Drosophila melanogaster: one gene and its partners. The protein of the gene in region 3 interacts with the protein of the main gene of each other region in a biochemical or structural test. Each region holds a gene or a part of one and is shown on either strand. Other genes may lie near its edges. The genes, in order: Sp7, Hayan, PPO1 and GNBP3.

Region 1 (6,166 bases), on a different chromosome or scaffold from region 3:
TGTTAAGTTGTTTGAAATTCCTTTGCGATCCTCGTTTACTTCTTGCGCTTGTATTTGGATCCGCATTAAAAAGCTGTTATGTGGACTCTGTAAATTTGGTAAAGAAACCCAAGCCCTTTGTCCGTGCTAACCGGTTCCTGCAGGCATCATTAACCTTTCCGCGTGCACACAATTAATGAGCCTAGCCATTGTCTACTTCGTTTTCCAGCCTAGCCACGCCTTCAGTGCAATCAGCCAGCAAACAAGTGAAAACTTTGCGGATGGAGCGCCGGAAGCTCTGAAAAGCACTGCTTCCATAATAGAAATTCATTGCCAAATTGCATAGAAAATAGCTGGGGGCGCTAAGAAGGTGCCTCTGGGCAAGTTGGCCCGCATCTTGAAAGTTATTCCACTGAACTCTCACCATCCCATCCCAGTGGGGAACAGCGATTTTAATTACCGCAAACGGCGCTAGACTGTAAGCGCATTAAGTATACGCAGCGTGGTAAGTGCAGCTGATAAAATCACATTGAATGCAAGTTAATTAAAGGATGGGCGCCCAGCCCAAAGAGCACTCTCGACTTGACTTTAATTAAAACATTATCAGAACAAAAGCGGCCTTCGTTCCGCTGCTCAGGGACGAATGGTCTCCACGATCCAGTCCATGTAGTCGGCTACCCGAGTGTAGACACCTGGCCAACCCTCTAGTCCGCAGCGGTTGCCAAAGGAGACCACGCCCTCCTGGTACCAAGCCTGGTCAAAACCCCTTCGCATCAGCGGTCCGCCGGAGTCGCCATCACAGCTGTCGCGGTAGAATTCCCCGCCAACACAGAGCTGGGAACTGATCAGGTGGATATTCCTCGTGGCGAACTTTCGTGCGCAGTAATCGTGGTCATTCACCGGCAGATCCAATCGCTGCTTTATGGTGCTCTTGCGGGCTATAGAATAAGAATTTGAATCAATTAGTTATGAAATTATAGATTCTTCTTGGTCAAGAGCTTCAATTGATATCTTTAGAATGAATATAAGTATCTTTAATATCCAAACTCACCTGTTGTGGTTCGGCCCCACCCGCTGACCACCAAGAGCTCCCCGGTATTGATTGCCATTCGTGTGCTTACCAAAGGCAAACAAACCGGCTGAATATACTCATTAAGCACAACGGGCCGATCTAATCGCAATAAGGCAATGTCGTGAATGCGGTTCTTGTTGGCAGGATCATATTGGGGATGTACAGTGGCCTGTTCGATGCCCAATTGTAGGATGGGCTGGTTGCAAATGTCATCTATGCAGTCCACGTCCTTGCTGGTATCGTATTCCCCCAACCGAACGGTAGTTCTGTATAGGGGCACAACTCATTTAGTTATTTAAAAACGTGGATAAACATCAAACCACGTAAATACTTACAGGTGACCTACTTCCGTTTCCACCGCACCAATGACGCAATGGGCGGCGGTAAGAACGTAACGATTGTTGATCAAACTGCCACCGCAACTGAGTTCCCGCCGTCCCCTGTCTATCAACATGGATAAAGATGCGTTAACTAAAGTTACATGATTTTATATAAGATGTCACTTACTATCCACGTACTCAAGCAGTGCCATCCAGTTGAACTCGTCAATAGCAGTGTCGTTGCCATTATAGACCTTATTGCTGAAGGAGTGGGGCCCGCACTTGGGTGGCGAGGGCAGCAGGTTGCCCAGACCCGCTTGACCGTCTTGACCTCGTGAACTTGAACTGGTAGTCGTTGGAGGAGGGGCTGCGGAGGTGGCCTCCTGGGATCCAAAGCTGCGATCACTTGTACAGCAAACATATGGCTGGCGACCTACTCCATCGAGGCACTGTGAGTTTCGAAGAAAGGTTCTGTCCTCCGGGCTGACATAAGACTGCTGAATCACGGAAAGCAGACTTTGACAGTCGTATATGGACAAACATTGTCCCTGTTTCTGGTTGGGATTCCTACAACCTACACATAACAATTAAAGACACAAGTAGGAAGATCAGTTACTCCTGTCAAAATGAGTTAAGAGTGGTATAAAACATGAAGGCAACTTGGGAAATTTTGAATTCGGAAATCAACCTGCTGATAAAGCTATTTAAATTAAATATAAATATTTATTTAATTTAAATAAATTAAGCAATAATACTATCAATCAGCACGTCGTTGAATTAAAACAAAACACTTAAGTCAAAAACGACTTCATTAAACATTTTAATTCGCTTGATTATGCTATCAATAATTGTAGTCAATATTAGTGACCTAATTTTGCAGCTTAATTAATTTCAAATTATAAAAATCCTATTAAGAATTTGGTTTATGTTTAATAAACATTTAAATTGCACTTATACGTTATTTCAATTATGTTTCGTTTTTGAGAACACAAGCATTAAGAACGATATTTAAAATTGTCAGGAGTTGCTACTTGATAATAAAAAATACGATTAATTTTTTGACATCAATCAAATCCCTTGATAATGTAATATGTTGTTTGACGAGTGGTCCCATAAAATTTATTGAGGAGAATGAAAGAATACACGAGTGCGCTCAATTAAGTCATTGACATGGGAAATTTGTTCAAGTTCAAGTCTGATAACCGCATTGAATTCTGTTAAGCTATTGCGCTTAACACGGATAAGTACCGGTCTCAATTAATGAGTCAGCTCTGAGTGAATCACATATTTATAGCTCGGTACTTACTTCCTTGTGCCGCAACATTTTGTAGAACGGTGAAAGGCAGCAGGCAGGTGGCCAAAAAAATCCCAACTACTTTGCGTGTTGATTTCATCTTCTGGGATATTTCCCACCAATTTTAATAAGAAATTTCACAGCTTATTTAATAAGAACGCGTCTTTGCGATTACGCGCGTCGACCTCGAACCAGAGAACCGTGAAGAGCGAAATTAAACTACGAACGCCTTCGATACGCAGAGACAACTGATCGCGAATTAACGGGCGAGAGACTTTTTAAATGCGATCGCAGATGATAATCGATTCGTCGTTGAGAGATACTGTCCCAGAGAGGCCGTGAGTAAAGCTTTCAAGCCCATCAAGAGACTTGAGCCGAGCTTATCACAACTAAGAAAGAGATCTTTTGAAAAGCTTTGGTACTCGGATTTTGATGCTTTCTCCCTAGAGTGTACAGATCCTATATACAGGTAGACCTCACTAAGCACGTACTTCTTACAGATCAAAACATTTTTAGATTATTTTTTGCTGGACCCAAAAACAGCCTCGCTCTGAAAATATTATGTTTAAATGTATATATTTTGTACGTAGTGAAATGTATTCAAAAATATTCAAAAATTTGCTTTGTAAGTCGATCCTCAACAGTGATCCAGCCCGATGAACAATGTCTTCATATGTAAAATTCCTAAATACTCATCCACTTAGATTTGTAGCTTTGCAAACTCTATTTGGCTTCTGAAATTTCTCACAACATGGATTCTTTTTCTCCTTTGGTCATGGAAGGGCGAGATACCTCAAGTCACAACAGGCGTTACCCATATTGAAATGTACTTCTGCAACGCTTCACAGGAGACGAATCGAGCTACATCTTTGCTGGATTCGTGTCGTGAACAGATTGCAAGTAGTAGAGACTTCTCGACCCATTGGTAGGCACTAACTAGTTTGTTGACACGATCGATGAATTATTGCACAGAGATGCGGTTTTGGCCGGCTGGATCAAGATGTTTGAAATTTCGGTAGGTCTTCTTAAAAGATACATGTCAACTCCTATTTTGCCGTGCTACACTTCGATGATTTCTTGCTACTGATTATCTGTATTTGTTGTTGCATTTTACCTTTTTCATATCATCCTGCAATTTCCGGTTGTTATGTCACATATAATAGTCTGTGTTCACTAAATAGCTTCACTATTTGCGTTGTTAAGTGCCTTCGTGATTTTGAGTTCCTATTTCAACACCCTCCTTAATGCGCACATGTTTACAAGTGGCATCAAAATTTAACATTTTTGCACAGTCTTCATGTTTTTTATTCAAAAGGCTTTTGGTTAAGATCAGACAGCATTTTATTTTTGCACTCATACCTACCAAAACTTGATCATATTTTACAACCTTTACAAAGTTAAGGAAGCGTGTATTAATCTGGAATCTGAAAAAACTTCGTTTGATATATTTTTTTTATTGCTTATCACGTTTTTGTTAATCACGCCATTTTTAGTAACGTTGCCGTACTAAATGACTTTAAAGTATATATAAAAAATACTGAAATACTGTGAGGGCTTCCGATAATTATTATATTCCCAGAACGATATTGTTTTCATCAACACTTTTGTTGCTTTTATTATTTTATATATTTTTTTTTTAAATTATAAAATTTTATATATTAAAACTTAAAGACTAAGAAAAGTTGGTCGCCATTATTTTGTTATAGCGCTTCTGCTCTTGAGGGTTAAGCTTGCAAAAGTCCAATTCGAAAATCTTGAGCTCTTTTCTTGTGTGCAGCGGCGGCCAAAGTGTGGTATAGGCCATGGTTCTGTAAGAAAATCAAAAGGGAAATAAGTAAAGTAATTTGAAAAGTTGGTATTTACGGTTTCTAATGATTGTCAATTGAAGATGATATGGCTCAAAAGAAATGAAAAACTTTGAAAAACTTTTTAGTATTTTGAATTCAAAATCTTTAGTTTTATCAATTATTAGTGACTGAGGCTAAAGAATATGTTTTTGATCTATTCTTTTCAAAACTATTTTAGCTAAACACAATACATTAAAAACTTTGACGAAAAAATTGTGACGAAACGCACAATGAACGTCTTCTTTTCTATTAACAACAATAACAAAATAGAGAACGGTATACTCGATTTCCCCGACTAACAGATACTTGTTACTCAGCTAGTGGGAGAGCTAGGGATAAATTCCAACACTTTCTTGACAGCATTGTCAAAAACAATATAGAAATACAAGCAAATAAAATCTATTGAAGTGACCCATGAAGAAAAGCTTGAACTGAGAACATTACTTGGGAGTCGAACAATGAACCGATTTCTATTGGAAGCAGGTTCTAATCCTTTTATCTTTATTTATAACTAAAAATAGCGAAATAAAAATGATAGTGAGGACTAAATTAAAAGAGAACTAATACGAATAGTGGCTGATCAATTAAGGGTTTGCCTAAGGCGTGCTTTAATCAAATGAGTATTGGATTGTTACTTTTCAAACCTATTACCTATTATTAAGCGTAACTAAATCTAGATTTTCAGCTTACCTTACGAATTGCCAAGCCTCCTGCGCCGTGGACTGGTTGTCGATCAGAAGTTTGATTTCCCGCTTGAACTGATCGGCGTACTCCCGCTTGGAATTGTGGTAACGTTCCAGACAACGTATCTGACTAATGAAATAAGAAGTATTTTGACCGTAACAAGTTTGGCTGGAAATCTTACAGGGGTATGCGGTGTTTAGAGAATGTGGGCTCGTGCACGGGATCCCGGTCGTCATCGAATACGGTTTGATAAATAGGCACGTACTCCTCCACGGGATCATCAACGTAGTTATTGTTAACATATTGTGCGTCAGCCTTGTGGCGCCTATACATGGCTGCAAACGCGTTCCGCTGCTCATCGCTCATACGAAAAATGCTTCCCATTACCGAGGCATAGAAGGACTTCATTCCCATGCTCATCCTCTTGTCGCCCATGAGCTTCCTCTTTTCCATAATCTGGGTTTTTCTTTCACTGGCGGCTTCCATTTTGGATGTTGTATTGAAGTGCCGGGTATTACGTGTATGAGTTATTATTTTGAATACTTCTGTGGAATTTGTGAATATATTTTTTGGTTAAGGTCTAAATAAATGTTATAGATGATAGTTAAAGCAGTGATTGTTTACACTTTCATAATTTTGATAAAAGCCAAAACTGGCATTTTTTTAGTTCAAGATGACATTAACATTTGATGATTAAGTTGCTCAGCATAAAGTTTTTGTTTTCTTAATTAGGAATGGTGACGAACTTCGTTTTGTTCGGCTTTTTTATTGGCTATATGTTTTTTTTACATGAATATGTTTCTATCTGTTTTTTTTTTTTTTTGAAAAATCTGATTGTATGTAATTTTTGGTTTACGTTGAAATGATTATTATTGGTTTATTCATCAACATAAACATGCCAAACTAATATGCCGTCAATTTGCTCTTGTTATCTTTTCTGTAAAATAAAATCGGCTTACTAACAAAGGGT
Region 2 (5,955 bases), on a different chromosome or scaffold from region 3:
AGCTTCGCAGTCTCGCGACCAACTGAAGCCCGAGGAGTCCTGGCAGCGCCATTTAAGCAGCTCCCACTTTTGCTGCCCGCAGGAGTGCGGCCTTGTGGGGAGAGCGGGGGCTGGTTTGCTGCGAGCGGACGGGGCCAGTGGGTCGGTGGGTGGTGGGTGGTGGGTGGTGTTTGGCTGGCTGTTTGGCCGCAGTAAGCCGGCAGCACTTTGTAACGGCGGCGAACAGCTGACTGCAAAAGCTCAGTAAGCAGCTTTTGTCGCAACTTTCGAATGCCACACCTGGCAATGCCGCGCGCAGCGAGCTTTTGCGCTCTCAGTTCTGTTTACGTACGAGCGGGTGAGGCGCAGACAGCGATAGTTTGACAGCTGTCCCGAAACCAGGGCTGCTGCAAAACGTCAGTGGGTAAAGTGCTTGGCACTTATGATACCTCTTAGTTGCCTCAGATGTTTGAATTTCTATTACACTATTATACTACACTATTATACTACACTATTATACTACACTATTATATAAAATAAAATCGATTCTAACATTTTGAGGAACTGAATGAACAACCCTTATGGCTTCTTTAATGACACTCACTGAATTGTGTCGAACTTTGTCTAAAGACAAAATACCTTTATCAAACACTTTTGATGGGAAACACCATCCGATCCGTTCAAACTAAATTTATTGCAGATCAAATGACGCCTCAGAAACGATTCGACGGCCACACGATACCCTCGATATAGTCGAGAAAGGAGGAGACGCGTGTGTAGAGGCCCGGGGTCTTGGTGGCGCAGCCGAAGCCCGAGGAGATTACGCCTACGATCGAGTAGGTGCCGTCGACGTCGTCAATCTCCAGGATGAGAGGTCCACCGGAATCGCCCTGACAGGCGTCCTTTCGCTGATTCTTGTCCGCCGCGCACAGCTGCGAGGCAATCACGCCCCTTCTCAACGTCCGGTTGGCACTCGGCTGTTCCGCAAAGGATGCATTGCACTCGTCGGCCGGCACCAGATCCAGAGCCGCCCGCAGCAGGATCTTTGATACGGCACGATCTGTAAAGACACCATCGAACACAATCCAATCCTGCAGTTTACGCACACACAACTTACTGGTCACATTCATTACACCCCAACCGGCGACGAAATATTTGTAGTTCGCTGGCGGATCACTGCGATCCGTGTAGAGACAGGCGGGACGGATGACATCGGACTCCTTGGCATCCTCGGCCAGCTGCAGAATGGCGATATCGTAGTACTTACTACTGCCGGAATAGTCCGGATGAATTTGAACATCAATCTGCCAATGGAAGTGAGTGAGTTCAACTGGTTATCTCGCACCATGTGTCACATGGCGATACCAACCACATTGATGTCCTGGTAGCCCGGCTCGGGATTTTCGATGTTCAACGCACCCAGACGGACGAAACTGGGTGTGCTATCGTCACTATTGACGCAGTGAGCCGCTGTGAGGACGAATCGACTGGCGATGAGCGATCCACCACATCGGAACGCTGCGCTCCCGAAGGAGTTGTACGCAATGGCCGCCATGTGGGGATAGACGCCCCTATCCACCCGTTCGCCGTCCAGAATGTGCACCGTCAGGGGCTTTCCACCGGATCGGATCTTCTCACACGCTATCATCAGATGATAGGAAATTTAATATATATTGTATATAATATATCTCCAAAGATATTTTCATATAAAATATTCCAAAGAATGCGCAACTCACCTGCCACCGACGGTCGCTCCTTCTCGGGAAGATTGACGCGGGAGGGATTGGGATTGGGCGTCGTTGGCCTGCGAAAGACAAGGTATATCAGCGATTAAAATTGGGCTCACGATGGTTTCCACCTGAGACAGAGACTGCATGCGGCTCCCTGGCTGAGGCCAACTGATGTCCATGCCAAAAGAATGCTCAGACAAACCGCGTCTCGGCTGGATTGAAGATGCTGGGAGCTGGATCCGCGTCTAGATTATTGCTGACATCGTTCCAGGGTTCCTGGGGCTGGGTATCCTTGTCTCTGTCCTGGCCCCGAAATCGGTAGGGTTCAAAGGGATCGATCAATTGCGTGGGCGTGGGTGCGGGTGTGGGCGTGGGCGTGGTTTGCAACACCATGGGCACTTCTCGAGCAGGCTCAATCTGCATTCCCTGCTCCCGCAGCCGATCGTTGACCAAATGTATGAGGTTGTTATTATTGGGGCTTGGATTGGTATTGAAATTGGAATTATTCGGTCTTTGGGGTCGTGATCGAGGCGTGGTCAGTGGACGGTTCACAATCCGTGGCTCACGGCCCCACTCCGGTTCCATAAAAGATCTCTGGGTGCTTGCAATGGGTTGAGTCTTCGAAGGAGCTATGCCCCAAGCTCCAACGCTTTGGATGGGCAACTTCATGGGTTCGTGTGTGGGCAACTTCATTGACTCGTGAGTGGGCATCTTCATGGACTCGTGAGTGGGCGTCTTCATCGACTCCTGTGTGGGCAACTTCAAGGACTCGTGGGTTTTCTGCGGCTTTACTGTGGTGCTTAGCAGCTTGTTGAAGTCAAAGAAGTTCTGATTCTCGTCCAGCCGACTTTCCCGCTCCCTTTTCCCCTCGGTGGTCGTTGGAGGCAGTGGCTCCGGTTCTGGTGTTGGTTCCCGCTTGGGTTCGGGTAAACTGCTGCGCTCGGAGCTCGTAGCATGGAATTGGACCTCACGACCTCGACTGTGGGAGTGAGAGGTGTTAGTCTGGCGTTGGACGCCGGTAACCGGGGCATGCAACATCGGTGGGCACACAGCACAAGCGGGACACACACAAACACATATATATGGTGCACAAACAGGAGGACAAAAAACAGGACAATAGAGCGCAGAGGCCAAGGAGACAAGGACACGCTTACTCAGTGGCACAGCAGGCGACGGTGGGGCAGCAGATGATCTCCTCGCGGGCGCCAAAACCACAACTCGGCACCTGGCTGGTGGACAGCGTGCCCGACTTCAAATATCCTCTGATGTTCTCGCAGGCTGAGGAGGAGAGGCAGATTCCCGGTATGTCCGACCTCACCTGGCAGGGATCGCCCTCTGCAACGAGAAATGCGGCCAGCTGGCAAGGATCTAGTGTACGCGCCGCAAGACATCCTACATACCATCCCCAACTGTTACATACGCAGAAGTTGTCAGCACCAGGAGACCCAGAAGGAAGTACCTTCTCGCCGAGATCATCGCCATCGGTCAGCTGAAATTCCCAAAAGCATTAGTGAATCCCATTCTACTTGGTAACGCTTATCAGCCTTATCAAAACCGAAAATGGAAAACATCATTTTCACAACAGGGGAAGCCCTCGTCGAAATGGTAAGGGAAAAACAAACGAGATCTGTTTCTTTCAATCGACTCGACTTTCAGCTGATTAAACCGATCCACATCCACTGCCATTGACCCATTTACGATTTTTTTTTTTTTTTAATATGGGAACACCACAAAAGCATTCTCCATATGAACTGCTCGATTGTAGTAAGCCAGACTTGATTGATTTCATTTGAGAGACTTTGTGTTGATGGAAAGTTTGTGTTTGCCGATTACGACGAGCATTTCACCAGCAGCGCCGCCAGGTGAGATCAGATGATTCATGGGAGGCATGCCGCTGGGATTTTACCACCGGCTAAAGACGTGTACTGCCAACTGATATCGCAGCTACGTCGGTAATAACCGATACGAAAGTAACACCTGACAATTATGCTGCTCAATTGAGCAGAGAGTCGTCAATGTGTCTGCAGTTCAACTGAATCATATATATCCGATTGAAGCAATGCAAAAGTGTCATGACATCACCTGTTATCGGCCCAAATGAAATTGTATTAAATAGGTATGCGATTGCTAATCAGCTTCCGGCCTTCCGCAGTAATTGCCCATTGTAAACACGACGAAATCAAAAGTAGAACATGCAATACATAGCCCCACATCCCCACATCCCGCAATCCCAATGTCCATTGTCCACTGTTCACTGTACACCGACGTCCGCCTTATCGAACGCACCTTTGACACGACCTTTTTTCGGTCTCTGATAAGGGAGTAGTACGTCTACGTATCGATGTCGTTTATTGAGTGCGTCGAGCACTGTGGTGACTATGGCAATCGGGCACCGCACAATACAATACAATTTAATTCAATACCACATAAACAAAACAAAATCCAAGGGAATTACGAAAAAAAAAAATAAAAAATAAAGAAAAAAACACCGCAAAAAGCACACCAGCAGAGTCAATAAAGCTAAAAACCGGTGGCTATCACAAATCGCGGCGGTATGGAATCTGCTGGCTATTTTCCCGGCTCTGACCGCTCAGCAACGCATCGCCCAAGCAACTGAAGCCAAGCTTCTGAGCCCCAGCTGGAGCTGGAGCTGGAACCGATGAGGCCCATTTAGACGTCGACCAAGAAGCGCCGGACCCAGCAGCTGATAGCACCCAGAGCCGATCCTCTCCCGCTGAGCGGCGAACCGGTTTCCCATTCCACCACTTCGCAGAATCGCAGAACGATCCGAAGCGATCAGAAGCCAGAGCACACAAAGCACAAAGGCAGCCTGTAATTAGCGAGTGGGTAAGCAACAGGCGAGCGGTATGGACTAAAGGATACCGCGTAAGGTCTATGCTGCGCTTGGTGACCCCGATATTTACACCTTTAAAAGTCGAGTATAATTGTGTCACAGAATCGTGTTTTAGAACTTACCATATATATAGTTTCAATTGCAGTAATCTTGTTTTTTTTTTTTTTGTATAATTCTTCTCTAATTAAAGTGGTGACCCAGATACTTACTTTCTTGCCTAGGTTGCGACCTAGGTGGTGACCCAAGAAGTCCTTTTCAACTTATAGTCTGAAACATATGCTTAAAATTTAAATTTCTTATGACAAATCTTTCTGAAATAAATGCATTCTGTTTGTATTTCCCCATTTTTTTTATACAGTGCAGCAATTCAATAAAAGTGGTGACCCAGAAATCCCTCTAAAATTAAACAGAACCAGAAAAATCACTTCACAGAGTTCTGGAAACCGAACTGCCAGAAATAATATTGTACCGATTGATTATATCTTAAAACGTATCTACTTTATTGGTATTAAATGGTTCGATCGCGGTGCTCATAGAGATCACAGATGAGTGTTTGCCAATTGCGATGGATCAGGCAGTCCTGATCCCAAATAGAAATAATATACATACAAAAAAAACAAAAACTTTACTTTTCCCAACTTTACACCCGATTGTCCGGCCAGACAATGCCCTCGATAAAGTCCAGATAGGACGAGACACGCGTATAGAGTCCCGGTGTGACGGTGGCGCATCCGAATCCCGACGAGATGACGCCCATGATGGTGTACATGCCGTCCTCCACGTTGAGCTCATGAATGAGCGGCCCACCGGAGTCGCCCTTGCATGCGTCGGCGATGAGCTTTTGATCAATGGCGCACAGCAACGAATCGATCACGCCCTGCTTGAGCAACCTTATGGAACCGGGCTGCTCCGCATAGGATATATTGCATTGGTCCAGAGGCACCAGCTCCAGACCAGCGCGCAACAGGATCTTAGATCGCGCCCGAGCTGCGGATGGTTAGCCATTAGTGGAAGTGGAGGATATGGAACTTTTTGTGCTACCCACTGGTTACATTTAGGACGCCCCAACCGGCGACAAAGAACTTGGAGTTCGATGGCGGATCGGTGGCATCCGTATGGAGACAAGCGGGCCGGATGTTATCCGTCTCGACGACATCACGTTCCAGTTCCAAAATGGCGATATCGTTGTACTTATTGCCCACATACTGCGGATGGATCTTAACGCTTCGCTGAGATATGGTATCGATCAGAATGGCTATAACTTAATGCATAAGCACAGTGACTCACTATGACGATATCCTGGTAGGAATGGTCTGGATTTTCAATGTTCACAGCTCCCAAGCGAACAAAGGCCGGCGTATTGGCATCGGTGTTGACACAATGTGCGGCGGT
Region 3 (5,144 bases):
AACGCAACACGTGCAGCGATTTTGTTGGCTGTTTTGCGAGGATGTTTTTTCTATTTTCCCTCAACACTTGGTGGGTGGATGGAACGCCAAGGCCTCCTGGACATGGGCAATCGCAAAGTTTGTCGAGCAAGGCGCTTTGAAGTCTAATAGGATTAGTTCGCACAAATGTGGGCGTGTCTGTCTATGACAAATAAACGCCCTTCTGCGGCTGTGTATCTGTATTTCTTTGCTATAAATAATATTCAATATTGCTAAGCAAATATTTGGCATGCGAATATTCCTAGACGAGGATTTCTTATATCAGTAAATATTTATCATATCCATGGCTGGCTTGCTTGAGGCCAACGAAAACGAGTAATCTCTGTTTTGCCTTGAAAAAGTAATAAATAAAAATCTGTAAAATTCTTTGGTCTCCCCGGGTGGTAAATTGGGACTATTAGATACATTATAAGCTTACCAAAAGTTTCTTGGCTAAAGCTATCTACCCACTGCATTCATTAGGTGTCAATACTCGCTTGTATTACTGCCTGCACATATTACAATACATTTATTTTTGTAGAGTGTAATTAGAAACGATAAAACACCACATAAACGCGCACAAGTTTGGTTAGTTATAAGTTAATAGCAAAAAGTGTATATGATTCCAAGAGTTTTCCGTTTTCAAGTCCGTTTCCATTGATTCTTAAAATCATCTCTGTTAGTTGGAGCAATCATCTAGGCCTTGTCAATCACACGATCATTGAAGACAATCCTTAAATCGGTCTTGGCCATGTTGCCAAAGGCACCGACCAATTCGGTGAGATTGGCATTGGGCAGGCGCCTATCGAAGGGATAGCCCATGGTGCGTCTGTCAGGATACAATTTGTCCTTCAGACCACAGAACGAGTACGCCGTGCTGCAGGCATCGTTGGGTCTAATGGGCGACAAGGAGAATGTCAGCTGATGATGGGAAATTGGGTTTATAGCACTCACGTTTTGGGCTGCTCAACGGAGTCCTGCGAGTAATCGGAAATCATGACGAACAGGTCGAAGACCATTCCCTGGGCATTGCCCTTGGGCAGCAGGAGATGCTGTGGCCACCCACATCCGCAAAACTTGAAGCGTGCCAACTCATCGGCGGCCTTGGGCTGATAGTCTGCTCCAACCGGGCGGAATGAGCGCTCGAAGGGAATGGCCACCGAGGACTCTGTCGACTGGCGGCGTATGGTGTTCTCACCAGGCACCACTGGGGATTAATTAAAGTATGTTAATAGATCGTAGGAGGTTGTCAGTAGGGAAAAGTATAAGCTAAAATCACTGGCTAGCTTTGTACGAAAGAAACACTTTTTAAATACCAAAATATTAAATAAATATATATACTAAGAAATACAGTTATTACTCACAATCAACTGTGAACTTGTCCATTTCGATGGCCAACAGTCGCTGCTCCTCCAGATTCAAAGCCTGATTACGCTCATCCACCTTGGGGCAGATGAAGATACGGCAAGTACCCGTTCGTCTGGCTCCATTATTGGTCACATTGAATGTATAAGTGAAGGGGGCATTCTGGAGATGGGTGAACGAGGCGAATATGTTGCGATCGGTCGTTGGTCCAAAGTCCAGGCCAGCTGCCAAGTCGGCACTCGACTTCTGCCAGTAGGTCAACAGGGTGTTGGCCTTGGTATTGGACTTGCCAATCTTGGCCTCAATGTAGTCCACGGTAATACCATCGAAGTTAAGCTCACCGGCATTGTACGGGTTCAGGCGAGTCTTGAATTTGTTGAACACCGTGTCGATGAATCCGTGCCACCTGTAGAAGATTGGATCCCTCATGGCCGTGGTCACATCGCCCATCACACCGAATTCCTCCAAGTGACGGTAATCGGGATCGTGGGCAAAGGAGATTATGTTGTGCCCCTCGTTGTGTAGATTGCCATAGAAATTATAGTTGATGGATAGGACTGGCGATGCCTCAATCATGTTGCCCAGGATATCGATGCCACGAACTTCGTCCAATGGTATACGATTGCCAGAAGACTATGGATTAGCAAATAAAAATTTCTAGTGCTTTCTATGACCTATGCTCAATATTCCAAACGGGCCCAACTCACATCTTCAACGTATCCTTGATCTATGGCAGCCAGCACGCGATCACGCCAGCGCTCCACATCGGAGATCTCCACACGCCCATCATGGCGGTCCACGTCCCTCAGCTTTTGGTTGGTCACTCGGGCGGGATAGGTGCGGTTATTCGTGCTGGACAGGATCTTGGGGAAGTAGCCCTCGGGAACCTCCACACGCAGATTGTTCAGCGGCTGAACCTTCTTCAGATTGTTGCAGAAGCGCTCCACATTGTAGCGCGCGAGTATCTGGTGGTGCATGTAGTAGAAGAGCTCGCCACGACGATCCTTGTTGACCACCTCCGTGGGTCCGGTGGTCGGGTAGACCAAGTGCCAGTGCCAATGATGGCTATTAACACCGATGTCCTCACGGAAGTACGCCAGGCGCTGTTCATCCTCGCGATCCGAGGCCGTGTAGTTTTGCGGAATGTCCACATGGACACGAGCGCCGCTCTCTCCAATAACAGAAGCTTCCTGACGGGCATCCTGTGGTCAAATTTATAAATACACCATTAAAGACTTTGATTGGTCAAATAAAGAAGAACTTAAACGAACCCGGAAGGCGGAAGGTTCTACAAAGTTGCTCGGAAAGATCTGGGAAATGTTGGTAATGGGCACTTCACGCGTATCCGGGCGATGGGCAACGGCGACGGCATAGGCGTATTGGAACAACACAGGATTCACACGATCCCTAAAAAATTAATACATTATACAATACATATATATTTATTTTAGTACAAGTACTTACTTGGTGTAAACGGAAAGCGACACGAATTGTCTGAGATTTGGTGCGCTCATGAAGAGGGTGATCAGCTCGCTGGCGATCTCACGATGGCGATTGTTAAACAGCGAAAATTGATTCTTGAGACCAATCTTTTTGGTGAACTCCAGACTGGGAACGTTGCTCAACTCCTGAATTGGGATCTTCAGATCCACGTCCTTAGAGAATCGATTGCCCACCTCCTCGGTGTCATTGCGATAGCGATCCGTATAGAAGGAATCGGGCAGTTCCAATACAGTTTTTCCGGAGTCACGAGTGGTGAATGCCGGTTCCAGGGGTCGCTGGAACATAAGTTCCAAGGCTTTCAGATCCGTGTTAGTCATGGTTTTCTCTATGGATGTACACTTTCAACTACACTTTTAACTTCACTCAACGAAGCCAGTTGCAGAACTGTGATTTTCCCAGGAAGCCGAACTCATTTTATAGCTAACTAGCAGTCCGAATATAAAAATAATATTTTTAAAAATATTCATTATCAAGTCCCAACCGCAAAACTGCAATGGTCGAGCCTTTTTTCTCACAAATCCAAACGTTGTGGTTTAGTCGATAGCTTCTGAAAAAGCAAAAAGTGCAATACCGCAAAAGTTGTTGAGCCGCAAAATGATAAGAGAAATACTTTTAATTGCTTGCATAAAATAATATACCATTGTTGATTTTCAGTTGAATGTTGTTAAACGTGAAACTGTATTGAGCTTGTTAGATACATATACTGATTTTTTTTCAATACTGCACTGCCTAATGTATACCCACAACCAATTAATTGTTTTCAACTTTTTGAAGAGTTATTAGTTCCGGGGTAGGAAGCTTAAATTGAATTTCTTTGTCTTTGCCGAAAAAGTATCCGAGAAACCTTTTTGCGACCACGCGAAATACAACTCCCAAAGTAAACAAGCCGAAGGCCACCGGAAAAGCTTCTTATTCGCATAGAAATAACACCGAATACTTGCTCAACAGGCTGCCACGCCCCCTTAAAAAGAACCGCCCATCGCCGAATGGGAGGCCATAAATTTGGCTTGGAGCAGAGGGCTCGTCCTTCGACATGGCCCATAAATTTGGTTTTTGAAATGGCAGTGTGTAGCTGAATGTAACTAAGAACTAACTGGCAAGAGAGCTTGGATGATTAAAATATCTATACTGTAAATCAATTTTTGTCGCTACGCCGTCTGGCCAAATGAACGATGTTGGCCAAAAAGCAAAGCGAATGGCCAAACTTTTGGCCATTGTCAATAATAAATGTTTCTGCCGACTTTGGCGTTGAAATGTGTGCGCATTAATCTGTGAAATTGACAGCAACAAAAACGAGCGTAACAAGTTTGCATAAATGTGCGGGTTTCGGGCGAAAATTGAAAAGATGAATTTTCACAATTTCTGCACTCTGGCCATAACAACATGAAAATGACTTTTCTGCTCGACTTTGTTTTGCTAATGTCGATGTTCCAGCAGATACACCATCTTTTCAGTTTATGAACTATGTACGGTAAGCAATGTAAGCCAAATTTGACTACCATCAATTGAATTTTTGTTTGAAATAACTTAGGCAAGAATATTTTATACGATTTTTTGTAGATTCTTTTAAACCATGCATACCACTTATGTATGTAATATAGTAATATATTGCAGAGTATATTGAAGTTGGCTTTTCCTAGAAAACACTTGACTGCACGCAAACATTTATCCGAGCAATGTAATTTTTCATTGAATATTCAACGACAGCCATGGCAAATGTGCTCCAGATTCCAGCCCAAAAGACAAACTTGCTTTAATTAATTATAAATTGTGGAAAAGTGTGTGCTTCTGCGAACTTGGCAGTGTGAATTGAATTAGAATGAAAATGGGCCAAAGCAAAAGCTTTAGGCCAGGACACGTGCAGAGCCTGCTTTCACCGGCGAAACAGAACAAAAAAAAAGGAAAAAACCCAAACTTTTACCAACAAGTCTTAAAAACCACGCAAGTTTGTAAAAGGCGCCAAGCACTCTTTCTGTTTGGCTTTATGGGCGAAAGTCTGGTCCATAAAATGAGCTGTGGGTATGCGTTAATTACCCGCTGGCTTAAATTTTACATTTTGGCTTAAGCACTCTGCGGCCAGGTTCGAAAACACATGATGCCTCCGCCCCAAAGAACATTCCAAACTATTCATTAGTTGTGGGCCAACCGCAGGAATTTGCGGCAGTGTGTTATCAAAATTTCGAGTGGGCTACGCTTTCAATTGTTTGCCCACTTGGGCACCAAACTGATTAAAGTTTCATGGCTCTAATCTGTTTGCA
Region 4 (3,938 bases), on a different chromosome or scaffold from region 3:
AAGAGCGCCCTGACGCGTTGTTTTCTTTCCTGATTTTCCCGAGCTGCGGTCCCTTCCGCTCGTCAGCAACGACTGTGATGCCAAAAGTTTTCACTGCTGCCCGCTTTTCCACGAAGCTGCCACTCGCCCGAAGACGCACGACGAAAAATCAATCATTCTCGCTTGTTTTGCTTTCGTGCGATGCACTGTAGGCTTAATGGTACCTTTTTGTGGCCAAAATTAATAACTTTAAATCGGAGAGATATTTTGTTTATGTTATTTGCATTGGGTGACACTAGCCCATATCTTTTATAGTACCAAAAATTCTGGTCGTGGCACCGCCCCTTATATTAAATTAACTCGTTTTTTTATTGAGATTTCTCTATTTTCAGTTTAAATCTCAAGTTAAACATAAGTTTTTGTTTCAGCTAATATACCTAAAAGCGCTATTTACAACACTCAATTACAGAATGGAGTTTTGGCCACAAAAAGGTACCATTCAGCCTATAGTGCGTTGTTTGGAACCCCTTCTGCCATAACAAACCATCCAACGAGCCAATCGATTTATCGATAACTTTACATGTCACTCGTAATTAGCAAGGAAAATAAATAATGGCCCCAATGTTGTAATAATTAAGCTAAGCACAGCAATTATGTGTAATTCAGCCCTATAGAAAATTATATAAAGCGCTATGTTGTCTGGCAACGCCACAGCTGTTTTCATAGCGCAGAAACAACAACAAAGACTGGTCAAAAAGAGCACACACACAAGTGAATTACATAAATCTGCATTACTTACAATAACAAAACAGCTCCAACGATCCAAATGGATATTTGTTTATATCCGCGTTCTTTTGGCAGCAGCACAAACGCACACAACCACGCACATTCAACGACACACGCGCTGCGAATTTGTTATTGTCTTATTGTGTTCTCCTCTTTCTGTTGCGTTTCGCGTTTGGCCAAATCTTTCAAATAATTGCACAAAAACACTGACGAACAACATGCGAAACCACAAAATATACGTGTACGCTGTGTCCTTCTCGCTAATTAAATATTTTACAAAAATATGTTCATGTTTTTGTTTTTTCCCGTGTGTGATATTTTCTACAAATTTTTCTATCGAGAGAACGAAAGCTAATAAGACAAGGAAACGGACGAGACTCAGAATTTCATCGAAATTCGTCGCCTGCTACACGGCGAAGCTTATTATTTCAGAATAGAAGTATTGTTTAAATATTTACCTAATGGCAACAATGGAAACTATTAACAAAAAAATTTAATCTTTCACTGATATGCCCTTATGCCCTTATTACTACAGCGATATACCGCAAGCAAAGTTATCGATATACCACAATACCACAAACAGCTGACACGTTAGAGTTGGGCAACTTCGCTGTTTATTAAGCGGGCTTTTTAAAATCTCTAAAATCATCTTTAATAGAAGGTTGTACATTTTGTCCGTATGTTCTTCTTTATTCTTACTCATACTTCTAAAAGCTTACTCTCAATGGCTGTGATTGGGTAAATCCCAAATTCTTCTTGTGGGAGTGTTGTCGCTCTTCTCTAAACATTGGCAAAAAAATCTCAAATAAATATTACACTTAGAAAATACTACCATTAAAGATATTTATATATAAAAACACCAAAATTATTGTATTTTACTTTTTATTTTCTTGATTAAATCGCCCATTGTTATTTTTAGCTACGATGGCACATACTTGCTTCAACATAGGCTTTAGACTTTAGAATCTGCGATAGCACTTTACGGTGTGTACTTTTTTGCAGTGCACCTTTAACAAACAAGCCTCGACCGGTTCTTGATAAGATTCTCAGATTTTCAAGTCCGAGTTGTCTGACCGCTCATCGCAGTTTTAATTGGTATTCCCACAATGGCGGATGCATTGCGCTTTGTGGCCTGGAGCTGCTGCCTCCAACTGCTGTTCCTGCTCCTTGGCGTTCAGGGGTATGAAGTACCCAAGGCTAAGATCGATGTTTTCTATCCCAAGGGATTCGAGGTCTCAATTCCCGATGAGGAGGGCATCACCCTGTTCGCCTTCCATGGCAAACTAAATGAGGAGATGGAGGGCCTGGAGGCTGGCACCTGGGCACGGGACATTGTCAAAGCGAAAAACGGACGCTGGACCTTCCGGGACCGGATTACGGCTCTAAAGCCTGGCGACACCCTGTACTACTGGACATACGTTATCTACAACGGACTGGGTTATCGCGAAGACGACGGGTCGTTTGTGGTCAATGGGTACAGTGGTAATAATGCCTCACCACATCCACCTGTGGTTCCAGTCTCCACAACGCCCTGGACTCCACCTGCCGATCCGGATATCGACATAAGGTTGGGTTGTACTACTCCCAAAACCGAGGTCAATGGAGCACCCACTCGCTGTGCCGGGCAGCTGGTGTTCGTGGATGAGTTCAATGCTGCAAAGCTGGATCCCAATAAGTGGAAAGCGGAACGCAGGTTTTCCGGTCAACCCGACTACGAGTTTAATGTGTACGTGGATGACGCTCCGGAAACCTTGTGCTTAGCCAATGGTCATGTGGTGCTCTCGACGAACACAATGAAAAAACAATTCAAGAAGGGTTCGGGTGAAAGTTTGGATCTGGGTGAAAAGTGTACGGGACAAGCGAATACCCACGACTGTGTAAGAAATGGGCGAACCCTAAATGACGGACTTCCGCCAATGGTCACCGCTCAGTTCTCCTCCAAGGATTTCTCCTTCAAGTATGGTCGCGTGGAGGTGCGAGCCAAAATGCCGCGGGCACAGTGGGTGACTCCACAAATCTGGCTGCAGCCCAGGCGTCCGATCTACGGAGTGGATGATTATCGGTCGGGACAGCTGAGAATCGCTTATACCCGTCCGAATGGAGGTAATCTGGATTTGTATGGCGCCGCCGTGCTCTTTGCAGATGAGCCGCTGCGATCGGTCAAGAATTGCCTGAAGCCAGGTACTGGAAATAACTCCGAGGACTGGAGCGATAGTTTCCACAATTACACCCTCGAATGGACACCCAGGGAACTTCGCTGGCTGGTGGACGGCAAGGAGTGGTGTGTCCAGGGAAGTGCTAAAGGGTCTTTCAGCGAGACGACTGCCGCCGGAAAGAGTTTACCGCAGGCCCAGAAACTGGAGGAGGGCACTGGACTGGCACCCTTCGATCAGGAGTTCTACTTGACCTTCGGACTCAGCGTGGGCGGTTTTAACGAGTACCAGCACGAGATCAAACCCTGGAACGAGAGGGCGCCGCAGGCGCAGAAAGCCTTTTGGAAGGAAGTCAAGAAGATCAGGGACCACTGGCTGGACGAGGGCCACATGAAGATCGACTACGTAAAGGTGTACTCTTTGTAAACTCTGTAATCGAATTACAAGCATAGGAAATAAAACAAATATAATTAACATTTATACAATACATTTTATACATTTACATCTAAAATTATGCTAGAAAATGGAAGAACTTTCTTAAATGAAAATCAAGTTCAAAGGTTCTTACCTGTTTATTTTTTAAATAAATTTCCATGCAAAACAAGCAAAAACAAGCAAAAAACAATTGTAAATTAAATTATTTATTTAGCGGTATTTAAACGTTACTTTTCCAACCATATGGTTTTATTTAAGCATGGCACTGCCGTTCAACCAAATATGTTGAATGCAGCCCTGGCTGTTTATCGATAAACTGCTCACATAACCTGCTGCTGCGGCCCAAAGAATTTATTTTGTCACCCGAAAACCGTAAGTAAATGGATATTAAATGATAGTTGAACGCTTTTCTAACTTAAGACTTGCAGATACCAATAAGATGCACATCACACGCCTCGCCCTTCGCCAGATTTCGCGCCAAGTGCAGCTGCATCGCATGTACAGTGCAGCGGCTCCGGCCGCCGCAGTCTCGGGTGCGGAAAAACTGGTGCCTCCCGCGCCGGAAGGAGCCGCCAAGCCACCCAA

What was found.
Region 1: of the proteins of PPO1 (region 3) and Sp7, one has a biochemical effect on the other in vitro, tested with the Drosophila melanogaster proteins (one study listed by BioGRID).
Region 2: of the proteins of PPO1 (region 3) and Hayan, one has a biochemical effect on the other in vitro, tested with the Drosophila melanogaster proteins (one study listed by BioGRID).
Region 4: the proteins of PPO1 (region 3) and GNBP3 form a complex in vitro, tested with the Drosophila melanogaster proteins (one study listed by BioGRID).

Annotation. Positions count from the first base shown.
Region 1 is NT_033777.3:7,757,786-7,763,951, reverse strand, and holds Sp7 (serine protease 7), read right to left. Parts: upstream 4,167-6,166; 5' UTR 4,029-4,166; intron 3,216-4,028; 5' UTR 2,766-3,215; coding exon 2,678-2,765; intron 1,946-2,677; coding exon 1,559-1,945; intron 1,496-1,558; coding exon 1,387-1,495; intron 1,318-1,386; coding exon 1,031-1,317; intron 918-1,030; coding exon 613-917; 3' UTR 526-612; downstream 1-525. Other genes in the region: CG10919 (uncharacterized protein), read right to left, coding at 4,338-4,473, 5,203-5,325, 5,378-5,682. UniProt on the Drosophila melanogaster protein: Serine protease that, by cleaving and activating prophenoloxidase (PPO1) after immune challenge, plays an essential role in the melanization immune response to septic wounding.
Region 2 is NC_004354.4:18,479,446-18,485,400, forward strand, and holds Hayan (hayan), read right to left. Parts: upstream 4,328-5,955; 5' UTR 3,996-4,327; intron 3,199-3,995; 5' UTR 3,192-3,198; coding exon 3,110-3,191; intron 3,045-3,109; coding exon 2,864-3,044; intron 2,689-2,863; coding exon 1,912-2,688; intron 1,784-1,911; coding exon 1,716-1,783; intron 1,688-1,715; exon of another isoform or gene 1,621-1,687; coding exon 1,349-1,620; exon of another isoform or gene 1,284-1,348; coding exon 1,097-1,283; exon of another isoform or gene 1,040-1,096; coding exon 693-1,039; 3' UTR 538-692; downstream 1-537. Other genes in the region: psh (persephone), read right to left, coding at 5,204-5,550, 5,609-5,792, 5,851-5,955. UniProt on the Drosophila melanogaster protein: Serine protease which, by converting prophenoloxidase 1 (PPO1) into its active form, plays an essential role in the melanization immune response to physical or septic wounding.
Region 3 is NT_033778.4:17,886,698-17,891,841, forward strand, and holds PPO1 (prophenoloxidase 1), read right to left. Parts: upstream 3,277-5,144; 5' UTR 3,204-3,276; coding exon 2,848-3,203; intron 2,791-2,847; coding exon 2,655-2,790; intron 2,586-2,654; coding exon 2,091-2,585; intron 2,017-2,090; coding exon 1,383-2,016; intron 1,226-1,382; coding exon 973-1,225; intron 914-972; coding exon 715-913; 3' UTR 523-714; downstream 1-522.
Region 4 is NT_037436.4:8,953,155-8,957,092, forward strand, and holds GNBP3 (Gram-negative bacteria binding protein 3), read left to right. Parts: upstream 1-1,866; 5' UTR 1,867-1,871; coding exon 1,872-3,344; 3' UTR 3,345-3,397; downstream 3,398-3,938. Other genes in the region: mRpL12 (mitochondrial ribosomal protein L12), read left to right, coding at 3,793-3,938. UniProt on the Drosophila melanogaster protein: Involved in the recognition of invading microorganisms. Binds specifically to beta-1,3-glucan and activates the phenoloxidase cascade.